5 linked regions of the Callithrix jacchus genome follow. The protein of the gene in region 1 purifies or fractionates together with the protein of each later gene. This does not show direct contact. Links are inferred from orthologs where the notes say so. Each region holds a gene or a part of one and is shown on either strand. Other genes may lie near its edges. The genes, in order: TSR1, LTV1, RPS8, RIOK2 and RRP12.

What was found.
Region 2: the proteins of TSR1 (region 1) and LTV1 purify together in Homo sapiens (co-immunoprecipitation; 4 studies listed by BioGRID and IntAct, counting the BioPlex papers as one, with this or other methods). This does not show direct contact. The link is inferred for Callithrix jacchus from reciprocal best matches to the Homo sapiens genes TSR1 and LTV1.
Region 3: the proteins of TSR1 (region 1) and RPS8 purify together in Homo sapiens (co-immunoprecipitation; 4 studies listed by BioGRID and IntAct, with this or other methods). This does not show direct contact. The link is inferred for Callithrix jacchus from reciprocal best matches to the Homo sapiens genes TSR1 and RPS8.
Region 4: the proteins of TSR1 (region 1) and RIOK2 fractionate together in Homo sapiens (co-fractionation; 3 studies listed by BioGRID and IntAct, with this or other methods). This does not show direct contact. The link is inferred for Callithrix jacchus from reciprocal best matches to the Homo sapiens genes TSR1 and RIOK2.
Region 5: the proteins of TSR1 (region 1) and RRP12 purify together in Homo sapiens (affinity purification with mass spectrometry; 3 studies listed by BioGRID and IntAct, counting the BioPlex papers as one, with this or other methods). This does not show direct contact. The link is inferred for Callithrix jacchus from reciprocal best matches to the Homo sapiens genes TSR1 and RRP12.

What each region holds. Positions count from the first base shown.
Region 1 is NC_133506.1:65,916,855-65,920,903, forward strand, and holds the start of TSR1 (pre-rRNA-processing protein TSR1 homolog), read left to right. Parts: upstream 1-1,241; 5' UTR 1,242-1,268; coding exon 1,269-1,365; exon of another isoform or gene 1,366-1,373; intron 1,374-1,561; coding exon 1,562-1,665; intron 1,666-1,951; coding exon 1,952-2,171; intron 2,172-2,275; coding exon 2,276-2,410; intron 2,411-3,057; coding exon 3,058-3,482; intron 3,483-3,635; exon of another isoform or gene 3,636-3,731; coding exon of another isoform or gene 3,732-3,839; intron 3,840-4,049. Other genes in the region: SGSM2 (small G protein signaling modulator 2), read right to left, coding at 1-38. UniProt on the Homo sapiens protein: Required during maturation of the 40S ribosomal subunit in the nucleolus.
Region 2 is NC_133505.1:150,614,090-150,618,111, reverse strand, and holds the start of LTV1 (protein LTV1 homolog), read right to left. Parts: upstream 2,803-4,022; 5' UTR 2,629-2,802; coding exon of another isoform or gene 2,626-2,628; 5' UTR 2,526-2,625; coding exon 2,469-2,525; intron 1,628-2,468; coding exon 1,496-1,627; intron 1-1,495. UniProt on the Homo sapiens protein: Essential for ribosome biogenesis.
Region 3 is NC_133508.1:81,490,668-81,494,636, reverse strand, and holds the start of RPS8 (small ribosomal subunit protein eS8), read right to left. Parts: upstream 2,804-3,969; 5' UTR 2,733-2,803; coding exon 2,729-2,732; intron 2,472-2,728; exon of another isoform or gene 2,392-2,471; intron 2,305-2,391; coding exon 2,198-2,304; intron 1,872-2,197; exon of another isoform or gene 1,768-1,871; intron 1,686-1,767; coding exon 1,586-1,685; intron 1-1,585. UniProt on the Homo sapiens protein: Component of the small ribosomal subunit. The ribosome is a large ribonucleoprotein complex responsible for the synthesis of proteins in the cell. Part of the small subunit (SSU) processome, first precursor of the small eukaryotic ribosomal subunit.
Region 4 is NC_133503.1:113,412,111-113,415,622, forward strand, and holds part of RIOK2 (serine/threonine-protein kinase RIO2), read left to right. Parts: intron 1-127; coding exon 128-266; intron 267-956; coding exon 957-1,073; intron 1,074-1,494; coding exon 1,495-1,670; intron 1,671-3,512. UniProt on the Homo sapiens protein: Serine/threonine-protein kinase involved in the final steps of cytoplasmic maturation of the 40S ribosomal subunit. Involved in export of the 40S pre-ribosome particles (pre-40S) from the nucleus to the cytoplasm.
Region 5 is NC_133513.1:90,222,268-90,226,269, reverse strand, and holds the start of RRP12 (RRP12-like protein), read left to right. Parts: upstream 1-1,198; 5' UTR 1,199-1,307; coding exon 1,308-1,446; intron 1,447-1,997; coding exon 1,998-2,227; intron 2,228-4,002.

The sequences.
Region 1 (4,049 bases):
AGCAGTTTCTCTTTGACAGCGTCCTCCGCGCTGCCCATGGTGTGGCAGGAGGCGGCGCCGAGCGGCCCTCCAAGCCCCCGCGCCCTCGCCGCCTCCGCGCCTCTCGGCTCAGCGCCCCACGCGCAAGGCGGAGACTCCGCCCGTCGCGCTCCCGGCCCGCAGCCGCCGCCGCAGCCACTGCCCGGTGCTTGGCTCCGCAGCCATCTTCCGAGCCCCGCAGACGTCAGGCGGCAGGCCCGGCCCCTTCCCACAGACGGAGGGGGGTTGCGCACAGCGACGGGGGATCGGGGCGGGGAGAGGCCGCTGGCGCTTGAGGGCGGCAGACCAGGGCGTGCGCCGCGGGGGTCGCTGTCATGGCAACGTGCCCGCTCCCGCTGCGAGGGAGCGAAGCCACATTGTGAACGCAGGCCCTGGAGCCCGCGGCTGAGAGCGTGCCTGGGTCCCGCCAAAGGTCCCCTGACTCCTCCCTGCTCACTCTCCCGACGGGACGGAAAGCGCCGGGGCCCGGGCACGGGGTTCCCTGCGGTCCGAGCCTGCCCACGGCGAAGGCAGTGCAGCCTGGCCCCGTGACCCCTCGGAATCCCGGGCGGCCGTCGCCAAGCCGTCGTCAAGTTTGTGGGAAGATGAGTGGAACGCAGCCGCCCGAGCCAGAGGGCCGGAGGGTCGCGGCCAGCCCGCCTCGTCGGGTCGCCACGTCCCACAGGGCCCTTCCGGCCGCTCCGTGGGAGGCGGGGCGCGGGTTGCAGTTACAGGGACGGGCGGACAAGGTGAGAGAAGTGTCTTCCACGCGATTCCCAAGCCTCGCTGGGGAATCGAGGGACAGGAAAGGCTGCTCAAAGTGATGAAGAACACATGCTGTTGCAAACGGAAGAGCAACGCGCCCGCACCCAGGTGACAGGAGCGGCCTGGGCCTCTTCTGCACGAACGGAGCCTTCCAGTCAGCATGTTTCTATGTGATGCAGCTTTATAGCGAAAAGTGAAAATGCAAGGGGCACAAACAGCCCTGCTGGGCCAACAGCCCGAGCCTCGAGAGTCCACATCCGGCGTCTTCCAGCCCCCAACCGCACACTGCGGCGTGGGAAAAGTTCCCACGGCGGTTGGGCAAAGTGGCGAACGCGGCGCTCTGGAGCGGCTGGAAAAGACCGTCGCCAGGGGGCGCACGGGGCGCAGGGAGCCCCGCTCCCCGGAGGGCCCGCCCCGGTGGACGGGACCGGAAGCGCTCGGCCTGGCCCGGAAGCGGTGTAGACTCCGAACGCGCGCGCTGCGGTATGGCTGCCCACCGGCCCGGCCCGCTCAAGCAGCAGAATAAGGCTCACAAAGGCGGGCGGCATCGGGGTCGGGGATCTGCACAGCGGGACGGCAAGGGTAAGAAGGTAGCGTAGAAGGAAGAAGGGCTACTTGGCTGTTATTAAGTCTTTTTCCCCATGCCCAGACTGAGCTGCTGTCTCCCCTCGTCTGGGCCCCACGCGAAAGGCCCTTTGTAAGGTGGGCGGAGAGGGGTCCCTTTTCCTGACGTTATTGTGGGACCGATCACACCAGACCCTTCTAATCTGCCCTCCAGGCCGTCTAGCACTGAAAACCCTAAGCAAGAAAGTGAGAAAAGAACTCAGCAGAGTCGACCAGAGGCATCGCGCCAGCCAGCTCCGAAAGCAGAAGAAGGAGGCGGTGAGAGGAGCGGGGTTTGGGAGACTGTGGCTCCTCTGCTTTTCTAAGTGGCTAATGCCTCGAACTGGAAAATGAGACCGGGTGGAGGGTCCAGGGACAGAGAATAGCCCTAGAGCACATGTCGAGCGTACAGTTCTGGCATTCCTTTCTTTGGTCAGAATTCCTGCCACCCTGCCGGCATACAGGGGGCCTTTTACCAGAGAGACGCCGGTTGTGGGTGGGTGGGAAATGCAATGCTGGAGTGAAGTACTGAGACATTGAGATGTTCTTGGATATCTGTTTTCAGGTTCTGGCAGAGAAGAGACAGTTGGGTAGCAAGAATGGCCCTCCTCATCAGGTACTGGTGGTGCCCCTGCACAACAGAATTTCCCTGCCAGAGGCCATTCAGCTGCTTCAGGATATGGACACTGGAAGAGTACACTTGAATGAATTGGGAAACACCCACAGCTTTATGCTGCTATGCCCCCACCTGAAACATCGGTGGTTTTTCACATCAGCAAGGCCAGGTTAGAGTATACAAACAATGTTTTCTATTATGTTTGAATAGTGGTAATATTTTTTTAGCATAATGTGCTGGTGCCAACCTCCTCTTCTTAACTTCTGTCTCCAGGAGATCTACACACTGTGTTAGACATGGCTAAAGTAGCTGATACCGTCCTGTTCTTACTTGATCCACTTGAAGGCTGGGACAGCACCGGCGATTACTGTCTTTCCTGCCTCTTTGCCCAGGGGCTTCCCACCTATAGTAAGTGAGTTAGCATTTATTGTGCACTTGTGTTTGATACAGGAATACAACTGATGGGTCATATTCAGCTGGTGGTGGGGGTTACACATATGGATTAAAGTTGGTCCATTATTTACAGATTCTCACTCAGGGTGCCTTTTTGTTTTTGGCTGTCCTTTGCCTAGAGAAAGAAGCATATGAAGTGTGATTTCACTGTGAAATTCCTTTAGGGTACTTAAGTGTTGGGTTTCCCAGTGATCTCTGGGCTTGCAACTGAGCTGTTAGGTTGTGAACTGCAGGGTTTGGGGTGTTTTTTGTTTTTTTTTTTTTCCTGAGACAGCGTTTTGCTCTTGTTGCCCAGGCTGGAATGCAGTGGTGTTGGGTCACCACAGTCTCCGCCTCCTGGGTTCAAGCAATTCTGCCTCAGCCTCCCGAGAAGCTGGGTTACAAGCATGTGCCACTGTGCCCGGCTAATTTTATATTTTGAGTAGAGACAGAGTTTCTCCATGTTGGTCACGCTGGTCTCGAACTCCTGACCTCAGGTGATCCATCCGCCTCAGTCTCCCAAAGTGCTGGGATTACAGGTGTGAACCACGGTGCCTGACCTTCAGGGAGATTTTTATGTAATGAAGCAATAGGTCACAAAGCATTTTCTCTTTTGCTTACAGCGCTAGCTGTCCAGGGGATTTCTGGCCTCCCACTGAAGAACCAAATAGATGCCAGGAAGAAGCTAAGTAAAGCAGTGGAGAAGCGCTTTCCAGATAACAAACTCCTCTTGTTAGACACTCAGCAGGAGGCAGGGATGCTGCTTAGGCAGTTGGCTAACCAGAAGCAACAGCATCTTGCTTTTCGGGACCGGCGAGCCTACCTGTTTGCCCATGCTGTTGATTTTGTTCCTAGTGAAGAGAATAACTTGGTGGGCAACTTGAAAATTTCAGGCTATGTTCGAGGGCAGACTCTGAATGTAAACAGTTTGCTACATATCGTTGGACATGGCGATTTCCAGATGAAACAGATAGATGCCCCTGTGGACCCTTTCCCTTTAAATCCTAGAGTAATTAAATCCCAGAAGGACCCAGACATGGCAATGGAGGTAAGACTGACTTTTTTTTGTTTCTGTTTTGTGAGGGGAAAGACATATTCTTAATTCATAATCATATGAAAGTTGGCACAGTGTACTGAAAAATGTCACGTCCAGAGTTAAAAAGAAAAAAAAAAGAAAGTTGGCACAGGAAGGAAACTTAAATTCAGAGAAGACAGTCTGTACATTTAGGTGATTGAGGAGACTGCCAGTCTGAAGTAAGGCAATAGTTATAAATATGTTGATAAATTACATATTTATCTAGCACTTTATATACTCTGCACTGCAGTTGGCTCTGAGTTTATAGAAGACACTCAAGACGCGGTTGCTTTCCTTAAGGGGCTTAATTGGGCTGGAACAAAACGGCATCTGTAAAATAAAGATAGAGATAGCATGTGGTTGAGGTACGGATCTACTATGGAAGTTTAGAAAGTAGACTAGCAAGCTTTACAGGAGAGATCAGACTTGAGCTAGGTGTTGAGAAGGATGAATGTGATTTATGAGTTGAAGAGGGATAAAAGAATATCCTAGAAGATAAAAACAATATGAACCTAGGCACAGTGGTAGATCAAAGGGTTT
Region 2 (4,022 bases), on another chromosome or scaffold:
TTTCAAGTCAAGATATAGACATATACACACAATTTATTTTATCAACTATTTGGAGGGTTATAAGAAAAGACTTGGGGAGGCCAGGCACAGTGGCTCATGCCTATAATCCCAGCACTTTGGGAGGCTGAGGCAGGAGTATCACTTGAGCCCAGAATTCAAGACCAGCCCAGCCTAAATAGTGAGACCTCGTTTCTACAAAACAATTTTAAAAATTAGCCAGGCCTGGTGGCGTGTGCTTGTAGTACAAACCTGGAGGATAAAGTGGGAGGATCACTTAAGCCCAAGAAGTATAAGTTGCAGTGAGCTGAGATGGAGCCACTCTGCATGCCACCATGGGCAACAGAATGAGACCCTGTCTCATAAAAAAAAAAAAAAAGAAGAAAGAAAGAAAAAAAGATTTGGGCTGGGCGCGGTGGCTCAAGCCTGTAATCCTAGCACTTTGGGAGGCTGAGGTGGGTGGATCACGAGGTCAAGAGATCGAGACCATCCAGGTCAACATCATGAAACCCCGTCTCTACTAAAAATACAAAAAATTAGCTGGGCGTAGTGGCACACGCTTGTAATCCCAGCTACTCGGGAGGCTGAGGCAGGAGAATTGCCTGAACCCAGGAGGTGGAGGTTGCGGTGAGCCGAGATCGTGCCATTGCACTCCAGCCTGGGTAACAAGAGCGAAAACTCCGTCTCAAAAAAAAAAAAAGGAAAAAAGAAAAAAAAGATTTGGGTGCCTTGAAAGGTTAAGTACAATTTATTGTATTTATATGTTAAACCCTCTCAACATACAACAAAACTGACTTTACTGAAAGCTAAACATGGCCCATGTCCCCAACACTGTTTCATAATACGTACACTTAGTAAGTACTGTCCAACATTAAGTCAATCTTTTCGAGGCTTCCTTGCAAAGTTCCCTGAGCTAACCCAAGAGCTCAGATATTTTACATTTCCTAAGATGAGCAACCAGGAGGCAAAATGCAATTTGTGGTTATGAAATGGCAGGATCTTAGAGAAAGCACAGTTTGAGCATTCACTGGTGCCCTAGATAACATGAGGCTACATTGTAGCTGGTGTTTTGGTAAATATTAACCATTATTTTACAAAATTTGTTCCTTTAAAATCTCAAAGATCTTTGTCTTCCCAATCAAAAAAACATGAATGTCATTTATGTTATTTATAATGTTATGTTCCCAATCAAAACATGAAAAATCAGCAAATGTACTGAAAATTAACTTATAGATTCTTTCCCAGAATATCTGTTATCTGAAAATAACAGCTGGCTAACAATTTATTAAAAACTATTAACATAGCTGGGCGTGGTGACTTATGCCTGTAATCACAGCATTTTTGGAAGTCAAGCTGGGAGGACTGCTCAGGAGTTTGAGACCAGGCTGGGCAACATGGCAAGACTCTTTCTCTATTAATTTAAAAAAAAAAGAAAGAAAGAAAAAAGAAACTATTAATAGTCTACCTATAAACTGACTGGGTAAAGAACAGGACCTACTTTTCGTGTGGGCAACAGAACCCTCTGGGGTGCAGTCTCATCTGCTGCTAAAGGATCTCGTTGGCTCCGGTGGACCAAGTGAAAAGACACAGCTTTCTTCTTCTCTATAAAGGGCTTTTTCTTCCTGTGAGGCTTCAAAGGAACAAAATCACAACAATTAATTAAAACAGAACAAAACGATGGAGAATAACTCCACAGTCCACAAACGCATCTTTAGTACTCATGTTAAAGATAAATACTTTTTAAAAATCTACACTTCCAGGGAAGGTAACATCAGCTGTGTTCTGTAGAATCCATACTTAGCCTTCATTCAACAAATATTCCTTGAGCACCTACTCTGTGTCAGACCTTGTTATGGAAACTGGGAATACAGAATTGGGAACGTCGGATAAAGTCCCTGTTCTTAGCAAGAAAATCAAGATAATTTCAGGTGGAGAAAATATAAGACAGTGATGTGAAAATGACTTAAGAGCTACTTTAGACTGGCTGCTCAGGGAAGGCCCCCGGCAGACTGAACCAGAATGAGAGGAAGCCCGCCACAACATGATTTGGAGTAGACAGCTCCACGTAGGGTATCTACCAACCAGTAAATAAAATCAGGACACAAACAGCTAAATTTAATAAGATCCATCATCTCTTTCTACATTCTTGTTTCGCTATTCAATTTTGATTCTCCAAACTGTGAAACCAATTAAATGGCTTTACTTTGGGCGCAACCTTATACTCTCCCACAAGTTTCCTTTCTCAGAGCAAACAGACAGGCAGACACCTGCCACTCCAACGCCACTGAGGGAGACCAGCAGCTCCCTCTGCTCGACCCCAAGAAGCAGAGGGTGGCTCGTCTGTGTGTGCAGTCGCCAGCTTTTAGTTAACCGAAAGCGCGCAGGGCTGCAAGATCCCAGGGGCCATTCTCCTCTCCGGGTCACATCCCTGGGAGGCTCGGCGGTAGCAGAATATAACTAGCAAAGAATACCCGGGGTGGTGAGCATGGCCCATTCCGGGGTACTGTGCTGCAAGCAACCTCTGGCATGATCCAGACCCAGGCCGCAGTAGTCAAGGCATTACCGGAACCAGCCCTGCCTCTGCAAAACCACAGCGCCCGGCCGCCGAGGCAAACTAGGTTTGCTCACCATGCTGCAGCCGCGCGACGCTCACCCTCAACAGGGGCGGCGATGATACCCTCGCAGTCCGGCGGGGATACCAAGGCCCAGCTTCTAGAGGGCCGGGTCTCTAGGTCTCACCACACGTGCGACTCCAGGACCCGGCGAAAACTTCACGCAGCCCCGGCAGTGGAAATGGACCAATCCGAGGAGCTGATGGGTCGCAATCGGAAGTTACGTACTAGCTGCATCTCCACTATCGCGAGAAGCTACTGGGAGGTGGGGCTACTTCGGCTTCCACCCACTGGCGGGCTGTACTCTTCCAGCCTTTAGTCTCCCTCTCGGGAAAGAGAGTCGCGCGGTTTCCTAGCGTTGAAGTGCAGAAGGGGGTTTCTGCTTGTGGAGGAACCCCCTCTTATAGCTCCCTCTACGGAGACTAGAGGGGACTAATCTAGCATCTCCGTTGACCTGTGTCCCTTACCTATTCCCAACCATAACAGAAAGCCGGGGACACGGAAGGGAGGCGGGCACCCGGCTGGGGTCGCCAGGTTTCAGGTTTCCCCTCCTGGCTGGGGCGGGGTCGGTTGCCGTGACAACGGAGGCCGAGGCCTTTATAGACTGCACCAGACTTGATCCATTTTTATTTCCCACCGTTTCAGGAAGTGCTTTCATCTGCCCTGTTAACCAAACCCTCGAGACTCTGTTGACTGTAGAGGCATTTGAGCTAATAAATTATATTCAGGAATCTCTGGTGTTTGAGGCCGGGCGCGGTGGCTCACACCTGTGATCCCAGCACTTCGGCAATCACCTGAGGTTGGGAGAGACCGGCCTAACCAATATGGAGAAACCCCGCCTCTACTAAAAATACCAAATTAGCCCGGCGTGGTGGCGTATGCCTGTAATCCCAGCTACTCGGGAGGCTGAGGCAGGAGAATCGCTGGAACCCAGGAGGCGGAGGTTGCGGTGAGCCGAGATCGCGTCATTTCACTGCAGCCTGGGCAACAAGAGCGAAACTCAGTCTTAAAAAAAAAAAAAAATAGCATCTCTGGTGTTTGAATGTCAACTCTCTCCCACTGTTTAAATGAATAGGCTATAAGCATGCATTCTTAGGGAGATTTCAGGTTGGTGCTGGCACACTCACATAGCTTTTCTTGGACAAAAGTGTGTGGTAAATGCACTCACTTTCATCAGCAGATTTTTTTTTCAAATTTGTTTCCCCGCTACCCCATTCCCAGTTTCTGGTGTCCTCTCAATGAATGAGTTAACTTGGATTGTATCTTTATGTCCTAGTCATTGCCACTGTATTTGTGGAGTATTATTCTTTTATTACAGTAAAAATTATAGAAATAGGTTAGGACCATAAAGCTTGTCTTGGGGATATTGCTTTGAAACAGAGATAATACATAGCACTCTTATGTGCCAGAGGT
Region 3 (3,969 bases), on another chromosome or scaffold:
GAGAAATTTGGAATCAAGTAAACTGGAGGACCAAATTGCCCGGGTGCCCTCCTCCAGGTTCTTCAGCTCTGTGAGGCCTTAAGGAGAAACAAGGGAACTCTCAGTCTTTAGGAGCCACAGGGCATCAGTCTTCCACAACTCCCTAACCCACATTTCTAGTGATGTTTGGAAACCACAGTCTTTATCAGACTGCGGAGTTAAGAAATCAGAGCAGGTGGGGTGTGGTGTCTCATGCCTGTAATCCCAGCACTCTGGTAGGTCGAGGTGGGTGGATCACTTGAAGCCAGAAGTTTTGAGACCAGTCTGGCCAACATGGTAAAACCCAGTTTCTACTAAAAATATTAAAAATAAGGCCGGGTGCGGTGGCTCAAGCCTGTAATCCCAGCACTTTGGGAGGGCAAGGCGGGTGGATCACGAGGTCAAGAGATCGAGACCATCCTGATCAACATGGTGAAACCCCGTCTCTACTAAAAATACGAAAAAAAAAAAAATTAGTCGGGCATGGTGGCACGTGCCTGTCTCATGCCTGTAATCCCAGCTACTCAGGAGGCTGAGGCAGGAGAATTGCCTGAACCCAGGAGGCGGAGGTTGCGGTGAGCCGAGATCGTGCCATTGCACTCCAGCTTGGGTAACGAGAGCGAAACTCCGTCTCAAAAAAATTAAAAATAAGCCAGGCGTGATGTTACACGCCTGTAATCCCAGCTACTTGGGAGGTTGAAGGAGGATCACTTGAACCCAGAGGCAGAGTTTGTAGTGAGCCAAGATCGTGCCACTGGCACTTCGGCCTGAGTAAGAGACCCTGTCTCAAAAAAGAAAAGAGATCAAAACAGGACAGTCTGGGTGGAGAGAACTCTCCAGCTACCTCAAGATCTTTCAGCAATGAGAAACTTCAAATGCTTTGGTCTAGGCCACAGACCTCCTGCCAAAAGTACTACCAGAGTCTTGCTCTGTTGCCCAGTCTGGAGTGCTGCAGTGGGCAATTTCAGCTCAATGCAACCTCCAACTCCTGGGTTCAAGCAATTCTTGTGCCTCAGCCTCCCAAGTAGCTGGAACTACAGGTGCACGCTACCACGCCCGAATAACTTTTTAAATATTTTTAGTATAGATGGGGTTTTGCCATGTTGGCCAGGCTGGTCTCCAACTCCTAACCTCAGGTGATCTACCCGTCTTGGCCTCCCAAAGTTGTAGGATTACAAGCATGAGCCACCACTGCTGAATCTTAAGAAGGGTTAGGTGGCTGGGTGAGGTGGCGCATGCCTGTAGTCCCAGCTACTCGAGAGGCTGAGGCTGGAGAGGAGTTCTGGGCTGTAGCGCGCTCTGCTGATCTGGTGTCCGCACTTAGTTTGGCATCAATATGGTGACTCCCGAGAACGGGGTATCACCAGGTTGCCTAAGGAGGGGTGAACCCGTCCAGGTCGGAAGTGGAGCAGGTCAAAACTCCTGTGCTGATCAGTAGTGGGATCGAGCCTGTGCATAGCTACTGCACTCCAGCCTGGGCAACATAGGGAGACTCTGTCTCTTAAAAAAAAAAAAGAGAGAAAAAAAAGCTGAGTTTTCCCACCCACTCCCAAAGGGCTTCACTCACACTCTGAGCCCCAGGAGAAATTTCCCACGTCTAGCCTCAGGGCACGGTATTTCTTGTTACCGCCCCGCACACGGACTGTGTGGATGCGGCGGGGGCCAATCTGGAAAACAGAAGGTGACAGGAACTAGGGTTACCAGGGAAAGCAAGGCAAGAGAGGGAGAGGAACCTGGGCCGTGAGGAGGCAACAGTCAGTGTAACTATGACATGTCCTAGCATTGGCAAGTGGCACGAAAGCGACCAAGACGGCCACAACCACGCCTAAGGATTCTTTTTCATCACCCTACTTGCCTCCAAGAGGAAAGCCTGACCCCAAACTCTTAAAATTAAACCTCTGTAAAAAAAAAAACAAAAGACCAGTCTTCCGACTATTACGCGAGGCACCGCCCTCCAGAAGCTTAAGTCCCCACACAGTAGCCGTCTGAGACCCTAAGCTCCGGGGACGGGAGCCTGAGGGAGCATTCCTCTTTGGTACCTATCTAACAAGCAAATGCGGGGAGGACACCCAGGCCTTACTACAGAAAGAACGCACAACCGTCACACGGAGAGACCTGAGAACGCTGGAGAGCAGGGGAAGGTGACCTCCCGGGCGGCCAGGCACACGCTCGCACCCACCTTGGTGTTGGCAGCCGGGCGCCCCAACTCATACTTCCGCTTCTTGTGGTAGGGCTTTCTCTTGCCCCCGGTCTTGCGGCGCTTGTGCCAGTTGTCCCGAGAGATGCCTGCATGTGGAAGCGGGGACAGAAGCTTGAGTCACTGGGACTCGGTGCTGGCGACTCGCCAGCTCCGGACCCCCGCGCCTGGCCGGCCGCACGCTCAGCTCTCCAAGGTTGGCTTCCCCACCGCGCACTCGGGAGTCTGCAGCATCTCGTAACTGTCATCATACACGTGCGGCCCGACCGGGGCCTACTTCTCGCGGCAGCCATGTTGGCGCCGCTAGGAGCCCGCAGCCCAGAGCCCAGAGCCCCCGCCCTTCGCAGCCCCAGAGAGAGGCTCGGCGGCCGAAACCCGAGGGCTGCTCCTCTTAGTGGCTTTTCCTGGCTGGGGGTCGGGGCGCCTGGACTCCTCAGTAAGCTGTGAAGCAAGATGGGGTCGGATTGAACTCGCCACCCCCAATCAGCCGCCTCTAAGCAGAGCGACACTCACCCATCGCTCGGCGCTGGCTGGAAAGAGAAACCGCGCAGATTCACGGTCCGGTTTGTAAAACGCTGCCCCGCCCCCACCTTTACGTTGTTTCTGAGCGCCGAAACAACGTCGGGCGACGAGACTTACGTGTCTACTGCCGCGCCTCGGGCGGGGGAAGGGCCCTTGGGCTGTCGACCCTCTGTTGACCCCCGTCAGACCTTGGGCTGGAGGAGGGGAGTCTGCGGCATCTGCAGATGCGTGCTTGTTGACTCCTTTCTGAGGCTGCCGCAGTCGTTTAGGATGAGATGTGGATGCGGCTGCGTTGGAAAAGGCTGGAAGGCAGTGGAGCTGGAAACGAGTGTGGACTTGGTTTTGTTTTGAAGGGTTTGGTGGTAGATTGGCTATGGGGATTGAGGGAGAGGGCAGTGTCAAGGATTTTTTTTTTTTTTTTTTTTTTTTTTTTGAGTTTCGCGTTTGTTGCCCAGTCTGGAGTGCAGTGGCGTGATCTCGGTTTACCGCAACCTCCCCCTCCCGGGTTCAAGCGATTCTCCTGCCTCAGCCTCCCGAGTAGCTGGGATTACAGGCATGCGCCACCACGCCTAGCTAATTTTGTATTTTTAGTAGAGACGGAGTTTCTCCATGTTGGTCAGGCTGGTCTCGAACTCCTGACCTCCCAGAGTACTGGGATTACAGGCGTGAGCCACCGCGCCCGGCCAGTAAGGATTCTTAAAATTCTCATTTGATCCGTTGGATAAATATTGGGACCATTTACTGAGATGGGTTAGGCCTAGGTAGGAGCTGTTCTGGACACGTTCATTTTGATGTTTTGCTAAATCTTATAACTGGGAAAGACAGGTAGGAAGCTGAATATTCATGACTGGTCATCCTTATAAGGGATCTGCACTGAAGATGTTATTTTGGAAATCTTTGGTTTATAAATGGCAATTAATTAAAGCCACCAAAATGAACGGAACTTAGGAAGAGTATAAAAGAGGGGTCAGCTAACTTTTTTTTTTTTTTTTCTGAGCTAGAAGGATATATATTTTTTAATTAAAAATATTTTTTAGGGCCGGGCGCGGTGGCTCACGCCTGTAATCCCAGCACTTTGGGAGGCCGAGGCGGGTGGATCACGAGGTCAAGAAATCGAGACCATCCTGGCCAACACCGTGAAACCCCTTCTCTACTAAAAATACAAAAAATTAGCCGGGCACGGTGGTACATGCCTGTAATCCCAGCTACTTGGGTGGCTGAGTCAGGAGAAT
Region 4 (3,512 bases), on another chromosome or scaffold:
TGTCTCAGAATTAGTTAGAGAACAGCATAGTAAGGAAAGTTTCAAGGAGAAGTTCATTTCTTAGCAGGGTTTTGATAGATAAAGTTTTGTGTTGATTATGATTACATAATGATTCCCTTAATTTCAGGTTGAAATGGGCATGAAGAACCATGAAATTGTTCCTGGCAGTTTGATTGCTTCTATAGCCAGCCTTAAACATGGTGGCTGTAATAAAGTTTTAAGAGAATTAGTGAAACATAAACTCATAGCTTGGGAGCGTACCAAAAGTAAGTATTTTGAGGCACCATTTGTGAGTTTTCAGGTAATTGGTTTCCTCCAGAGCAAGTGTTCCAAAAGGCAAGAAGTAGAAGTTGCCAGACTAGTAAAGCATTCGACGAAGAATTGACAAAACATACTTCTGCCATATCCTATTAATCAAAACAGTCACAGGACACTCCCAGCTCAAGAACATGTAGGGTACCGCAGAAGAACGTGTAGGGTACTGCAGAACTGCAGAAGAGCATGTAGGATAGAGATACTGTGGCTACCATCTTTGGAAAATACAATCAGCAGTCATACTCTAGAGAATTACTTAAACCATCTGTGGTGAGGGATTCGTTTTTTCAAACCTATCACAGATCCTTACTTTTATAAAATAAAAAAAAAAATACTAGAAAAATGAAATGGATAACAGATAGATACAAAATCAGACATAAATTCTAGGTCAAATTAATATAAAATTGAACCTAAATGCCTTTTTTTATCTCATCACAAACACATATAGACCTCAGTTTGTAGGTCACACTTTAACAGCACACTGGAGAAGAAATGCAAATTATAGGAAGAAATTGGAAGTTTGTGAGCCTGAGCTTCCAATAAAGATTTTCCACTGTTAAATCTTTCTTTTGAGTTGAACTTAAGTGACTTGGTTATATAGTGTAACTAAAATGTGGTTTTTCTCCTTTGATTTTGTGTAGCTGTCCAGGGCTACCGGTTGACAAATGCAGGATATGATTACCTAGCTTTGAAAACACTTTCTTCTAGGCAAGTCGTTGAGTCTGTTGGAAACCAGCTGGGTGTTGGCAAAGAATCAGGTAAGTGCTGATAGTACTGTGGAAAGTATTTGCTTTGATTTAATTTATGTTTTCCCTTCAGAAAGCATATTTTAATTTTCCTTTTTTTCCAACTAAACAGTAAATTGGAAAGTTGGTTGGAATCAATATAAATCAGAAGGTACCCTTAATTAGTAGGTTATTATTTTATCTGAAAGTCTGTCACTGAAAATTTATTTATACTAGGAATTTTCTTCTAATAACTTCCAAGATATCTCACTATTTGTGTCCCAATATTCCCAAATTCAGATGACTACTGGTCCGAAAGTTTTAGATAAGGGATATTCAGCCTTTATTAAGAAAAATGACATTTTTGATACAAATAAAATTAGACAAAGTTAGAATTGTTTTACATGATTGGAATAAACCTGTAATAATGATTTTTTTGAAATCTTGTCTCTAGATATTTACATTGTTGCAAATGAAGAAGGACAGCAATTTGCATTAAAGCTTTACAGACTAGGAAGAACCTCGTTTCGAAATCTGAAAAACAAACGTGATTATCATAAACATAGGCATAATGTTTCTTGGCTTTATTTATCTCGTCTCTCTGCCATGAAGGAATTTGCCTATATGAAGGTATTTATTTTATAGTCATGAATGTTTTAGCCAAATAATACATGTGTCTCAAAGGCCTTAATGTCAAGTTTGATTCTGTTGCTCCCACATCTCTCTAACCTCAGACTCAATGCCTACAGACAGACTCAATCCCTAAATAATTCTGTTGATTATTTGGGCTCTTTTAAGTGATTCCCTTCTATGTTAAGGTATTTTAAATTGTTATTAATTCATAAGGGCAACACATTCTATAATATTGACAAGATGGAAGAACCAAAAACAGTTAATATGCTGTTACCTCACAAATATTTTATGTTTGGGTGTATATATATCTATTCAATACATACAACTATATATTTGTCTGTTTCTAATTGAAAATACCAAGTAATTACCATCTGTGGAAACCTTAATGTCTCAGATAAGTTGGCTAGTTTTTTGTTTCACATAGTGGAACAAACGTCATTTATAGACTTATCTGAATATTAAAAATGGTAAAAATTGGCTGGGCGCAGTGACTCATGCCTGTAATACCAGCACTTTGGGAGGGCAAGGCAGGCAGATTTCTTGATGTAATGGAGACCAGCCTGGCCAACAAGGTGAAACTCCATCTCTAATAAAAATACAAAAATTATCCAGGCTTGGGGGTGGGCACCTGTAATCCCAGCTACTTGGAAGACTGAGGCAGGAAAATCACTTTAACCCAGGAGACAGAGGTTATAGTGAGTAAAGATTATGCCACTGCACTTGAGCCTGGGCGACAGAGCAAAATTCTGTCTCAAAAAAAAAAAAAAGGTAAAAATCTTTAGTTTGTAAGAGGAAAAGATGAAGAGAAGTGGGTTAAAGGGTACAAACATATAGTTAGAAGGAACACATTCAATGTTTGACAGCAGTGTAGGGTGACTATAGTAAATGAAATGTATTTTACTCAGGAGATGAACACACTAAATACCCTGACTTGATCACTACTCATATATACTTAACAGAATGTTACATGTACCTCATACATTTGTACAAATAGAAAAAAAATACTTAACCTTGCAGATGAAATGCCATAATTGCAAAGATGGTTTTCTCAGGGTTAGGCCTTTTCATTTTACTTCAGGTGTGCTTCTTACCTCTGCAGTTTCCCCAAGTATTGGAACTTGACTACATATGTTATGGTAGTGATGAATTACAATTGTACTCTATTCTTACATTGAAGAAAATTTTTAACTTTTTGCCTTCAAAATTAAGTTCAGCATAAATTTGTTAAATATAATAGCCAAATAAAATATATTCAATAATAACTAGGTTAAACGAAAGATAATACTGTGTTTTTGTTATTCTGCCAATAGGATTTGTCATAATTTATCTTCATTTTTTTAAAAAAAATTTAAATGGAGGATTGGCACAGTGTGTAAACACCTGTTTCTTGAGGATTCAATTTGTTGTTCTTTGAGTACGTTATATTCTATGCTTAAATGTTTACTAATCATGGAAGATTTCTTAAGGCAGTATAAACTAGTACTACTGATACCATACATGTTGTGTATTTATTGTCTTATACTAATAGTTTATGTCTTATAATAGTCAGTAAATTAGCAGCTTGGTAGGGATCATTACACATTTTCCCAAAACTGTAGTAGGTGTTTTTCAGGATATTTATATGGAAGGTATAGGAATGGAATCTCATTGCACATAAATGCATTCCTTAAATATATTGATTTTTTATAACAGAGAAAAAATAAGATAAAGATTAGGCTATAGCATGACGTCTAGGCTATAGCACAAATTATAGACAAATGTTCACAATGTTTAAGGTTATCACTTGCTATTGATCTGCCAAGTTATGTTCAAAATGGTCTATGTTGAAAAAAATTACTT
Region 5 (4,002 bases), on another chromosome or scaffold:
TGTTGTTAACTGAAAAAGAACTCCAGTTTTTTGTTTGTTTTTTTTTGAGACAGTCTCATTCTGTTGCCCAGGCTGAAGTGCAGAGGTGAGATCTCGGCTCACTGCAACCTCTGCCTCCTGGGTTCAAGTGATTCTTGTGCCTCACCCTCCCAAGGAGCTGGGATTACAGGCGCGCGCCACCACGCCCAGCTAATTTTTGTAATTTAGTAGATACCGGGTTTCACTATGGTGGTCAGGCTGGTTTCCAACCCTGACCTCAAATGATTCACCCACCTCAGCCTCCAAAAGTGCTGTGATTACAGGCATGAGTTACCGCGACCAGCTGAACTCATTTTTTTGTTTGTTTGTTTTTTTGTTTTTTTTGAGAGGGAGTTTCGCTGTTGTTACCCAGACTGGAGTGCAATGGCACAATCTCGGCTCACCGCAACCTCTGCCTTCTGGGTTCAAGCAATTCTCCTGCCTCAGCCTCCCGAGTAGCTGGGACTACAGGCGCGCACCACCATGCCCAGCTAATTTTTGTATTTTTAGTAGAGACAGGGTTTCACCTTGTTGACCAGGATGGTCTCGATCTCTTGACCTCGTGATCCACCCGCCTCGGCCTCCCAAAGTGTTGGGATTATAAGCGTGAGCCACCGCGCCCGGCCTGAACTCCAGTTTTTTCCTTTTCTTTTTCTTTTTTTTTTTTTAGACGGAGTTTCGCTCTTGTTACCCAGGCTGGAGTGCAATGGCGCGATCTCGGCTCACCGCAACCTCGGCCCCCTGGGTTCAGGCAGTTCTCCTGCCTCAGCCTCCTGAGTAGCTGGGATTACAGGCACGCGCCACCATGTCCAGCTAATTTTTTGTATTTTTGAGTAGAGACGGGGTTTCAACATATTGACCAGGATGGTCTCGATCTCTTGACCTCGTGATCCACCCGCCTCGGCCTCCGAAAGTGCTGGGATTACAGGCTTGGGCCACCGCGCCCGGCCATTAACTCCAGTTTTTTAAGGCTCACTCACTCCTGTGGTCCTGAAACCTGGTCCAGGCTGGAGTAAGAAGCCCAGAGAACCCGTAACAACCTAACGTCCTCCGTAGCAACGGATCTCCTTGGAGCTCCCCCAAATCCAAAACCAGGAGGAGGAGGAGGAGGAGGAGGAGGCGTAAAACCGGATGTTGATTGCTTTACCATAGTAATAGGCACGAATCCGGAAGTGACGCCAGAAGAAGAGGAAGTGAAGGGTACAGGGTATCCACGTGGGTTCTGAGCGTGTTTCTAAGTACCTGGGAACTGGTCCTTTAGGTTCACTCCCAGCCACGGCTTAGTCAATATGGGTCGCTCGGGGAAGTTGCCCTCTGGTGTCTCAGCTAAATTGAAGCGCTGGAAGAAAGGCCACAGCAGCGACAGCAACCCCGTCATCTGCCGCCACCGCCAGGCCGCCCGCAGCCGCTTCTTCAGCCGGCCGTCAGGTAGCTGGATTGGGACCCGAGCGCAGCCGTCGGTGGGGTTCCGGGCACACCTGGGTCCAGATGAGTCTGGGGCCTCTGGGAGAGTCCGGGGCCAGGCACTGGAACTTCCATTTCTTAGGATGTCGGATCTGGAGCTCGCTCTGAAGGGCAACCGTACCAATTTAGCAGATATATGGAAACTGAGGTCCGCAGTAGGGAAATGTCTTGTGTAAGGTACTGCAGGTGTCAGAGTTGGGACTCATGGCTGTAATGAACCTTGGATGGCTCTTTATAGACCGCATTCACCTTCATTTATTTTCTAGGTTCTCTGAATGTAGTTCCAGCTGATTCCCACTGGCGTTTATGCCATTGCTACAGGGAAGCGGAAACTTTTACACGGAGGATTCCCTTTCTCCTTGGGTTTTCAAGTTTTAGGCATGCAATGGGTTTATGAGGCAGAATTCAGCCTCTCGGGTTGGAGTCTTGGGCTGGGATCGTTTGTTTCCCTGGGGTTGTTCTGTTCTCTTGACCAAAAGGAGGCTTGGGCCTTATCTTGTGCCTCTGGCTCTCAGGAAGGAGTGACCTGACAGTCGATGCTGTGAAGTTACATAATGAGCTGCAGTCAGGGTCCTTGCGCCTGGGCAAAAGGGAAGCCCCTGAGACGCCCATGGAAGAAGAGGCGGAGCTGGCTGTCACCGAGAAGTCCTCAGGTACCTTCCTGAGTGGCCTTTCCGACTGCACAAACGTCACCTTCAGCAAAGTGCAGCGCTTCTGGGAGTCCAACTCGGCTGCCCACAAGGAGGTAGGGGCGAGGGTCAGGAGGACCATGGAACGGTGAGGAGGGGCCAACTCATGCCTTTTCTTCAGCTCTGGCTGACTGGTCTCCCGTGACAACAGCTGGTATTTCTGGATGATGTGTCATTTCTCTTCTCTTTATGTTCCCTCCTAGGGCGGGTTCCACGTGATGCTTTTTTTTAAGATGGGGTTTCACCATGTTGGTCAGGCTGGTCTTGAACTCCCGACCTCAGCCTCCAAAGTGTTTGGATTACAGGCATGAGCCACCGTGCCCAGCCCACTTGATGCTTTTTATAAGAACATCTCCCCTGCTGAAGTGTAAAGTACTTGAGGGTAGAAATATTTTCCAAAAATTTCTCTCCTCAGCTTTACCTAACACAGTACTTTGTACAGAGAGTTTTTTCAATAAGCATATGTTGAGTTAATAAATGCCCAGTAACAGTGATTAGGAAACGTTTTATCTAGCAAGAACTAAATTTTATTTACTTTTATTATGTTATCTATACTTTAAAGTTATGTATATTTTTTGTTATTGAAATAAAAAAGTAAAAATTCTAAATACTAAAATGATAGAAGAAGAATAAAATGTGATGGTTGTTCCCCCAACTTGAGTCTTTCACAGTAGCTACTGTTAATGTGTCATGGTCTGTCTTCCTGGACCAGCTCTGTCCAATAGTAATCTTAATTCAAGCCACATATGTAATTAAAAATTGTGGTTTTTTTTTTTGAGACAGAGTTTCGCTCTTGTTACCCAGGCTGGAGTACAATGGCGTGATCTCGGCTCACTGCAACCTCCACCTCCTGGGTTCAAGATTCTCCTGTCTCAGCCTCCCAAGTAGCTGGGATTATAGGCATGCACCACCATGCTTGGCTAGTTTTTTTTGTATTTTTAGTAGAGATGGGGTTTCTCCATGTTGGCCAGGCTGGTCTCAAAATCCTGACCTCAGGTGACCCCCAAAGGCGTGAGCCACTGCTACTGGCCTAATTTAAAAATTTTTAGTAGCCATATTAAAAACTTAAACAGGTAAAATTAATCTTAACAGTATACTTTATTTACCTCAGTATCTTTTTTTCTTGTTTTGTGTGTGTGTTTTGGAGACGGAGTCTCACTCTGTCACCAAGGCTGGAGTGCGCAATCTCGGCTCTGCCTCCTGGGTTCAAGCGGTTCTCTTGCCTCAGCCTTCTGAGTAGCTGGGACTACAAGCACCCAGCTAATTTTTTGTATTTTTAGTAGAAATGAAGTTTCACCATGTTGGCTAGGACAGTCTTGATCTCTTGACCTCATGATCCACCTGCCTTGGACTCCCAAAGTGCTGGGATTACAGGTGTGAGCCACCACGCCTGGCCTTAACTCAGTATCTTTAAAATATTACCGTTTCAATGTATAATCAATATATTTCACTACAGCATTATTTTTATGATAGGAAGTCTTCAAAATCTAGTGTATAATTTACCCATATACCTCTACTTAGATGCTAAATTTTTTTTTTTTTTGAGACAGAGTCTCGCTCTGTTGCCCAGACTGGAGTGCAGTGGTGTGATCTCAGCTCACTGCAACCTTTGCCTTCCAGGTTCAAGCAGTTCTCTGCCTCAGCCTCTTGAGTAGCTGGGATTACAGGCGCTTGCCACCACGCCTGATTTAGTTTTTTGTATTTTTAGTAGAGACAGGGTTTCACTGTCTTGGCCAGGCTGGTCTTGAACTTGCTGTCTCGTGATCCACCCACCTCAGCCTCCCAGAGTGCTGGGATTATAGGCATGAGCCATCGCTCCCGGCCTAGATGT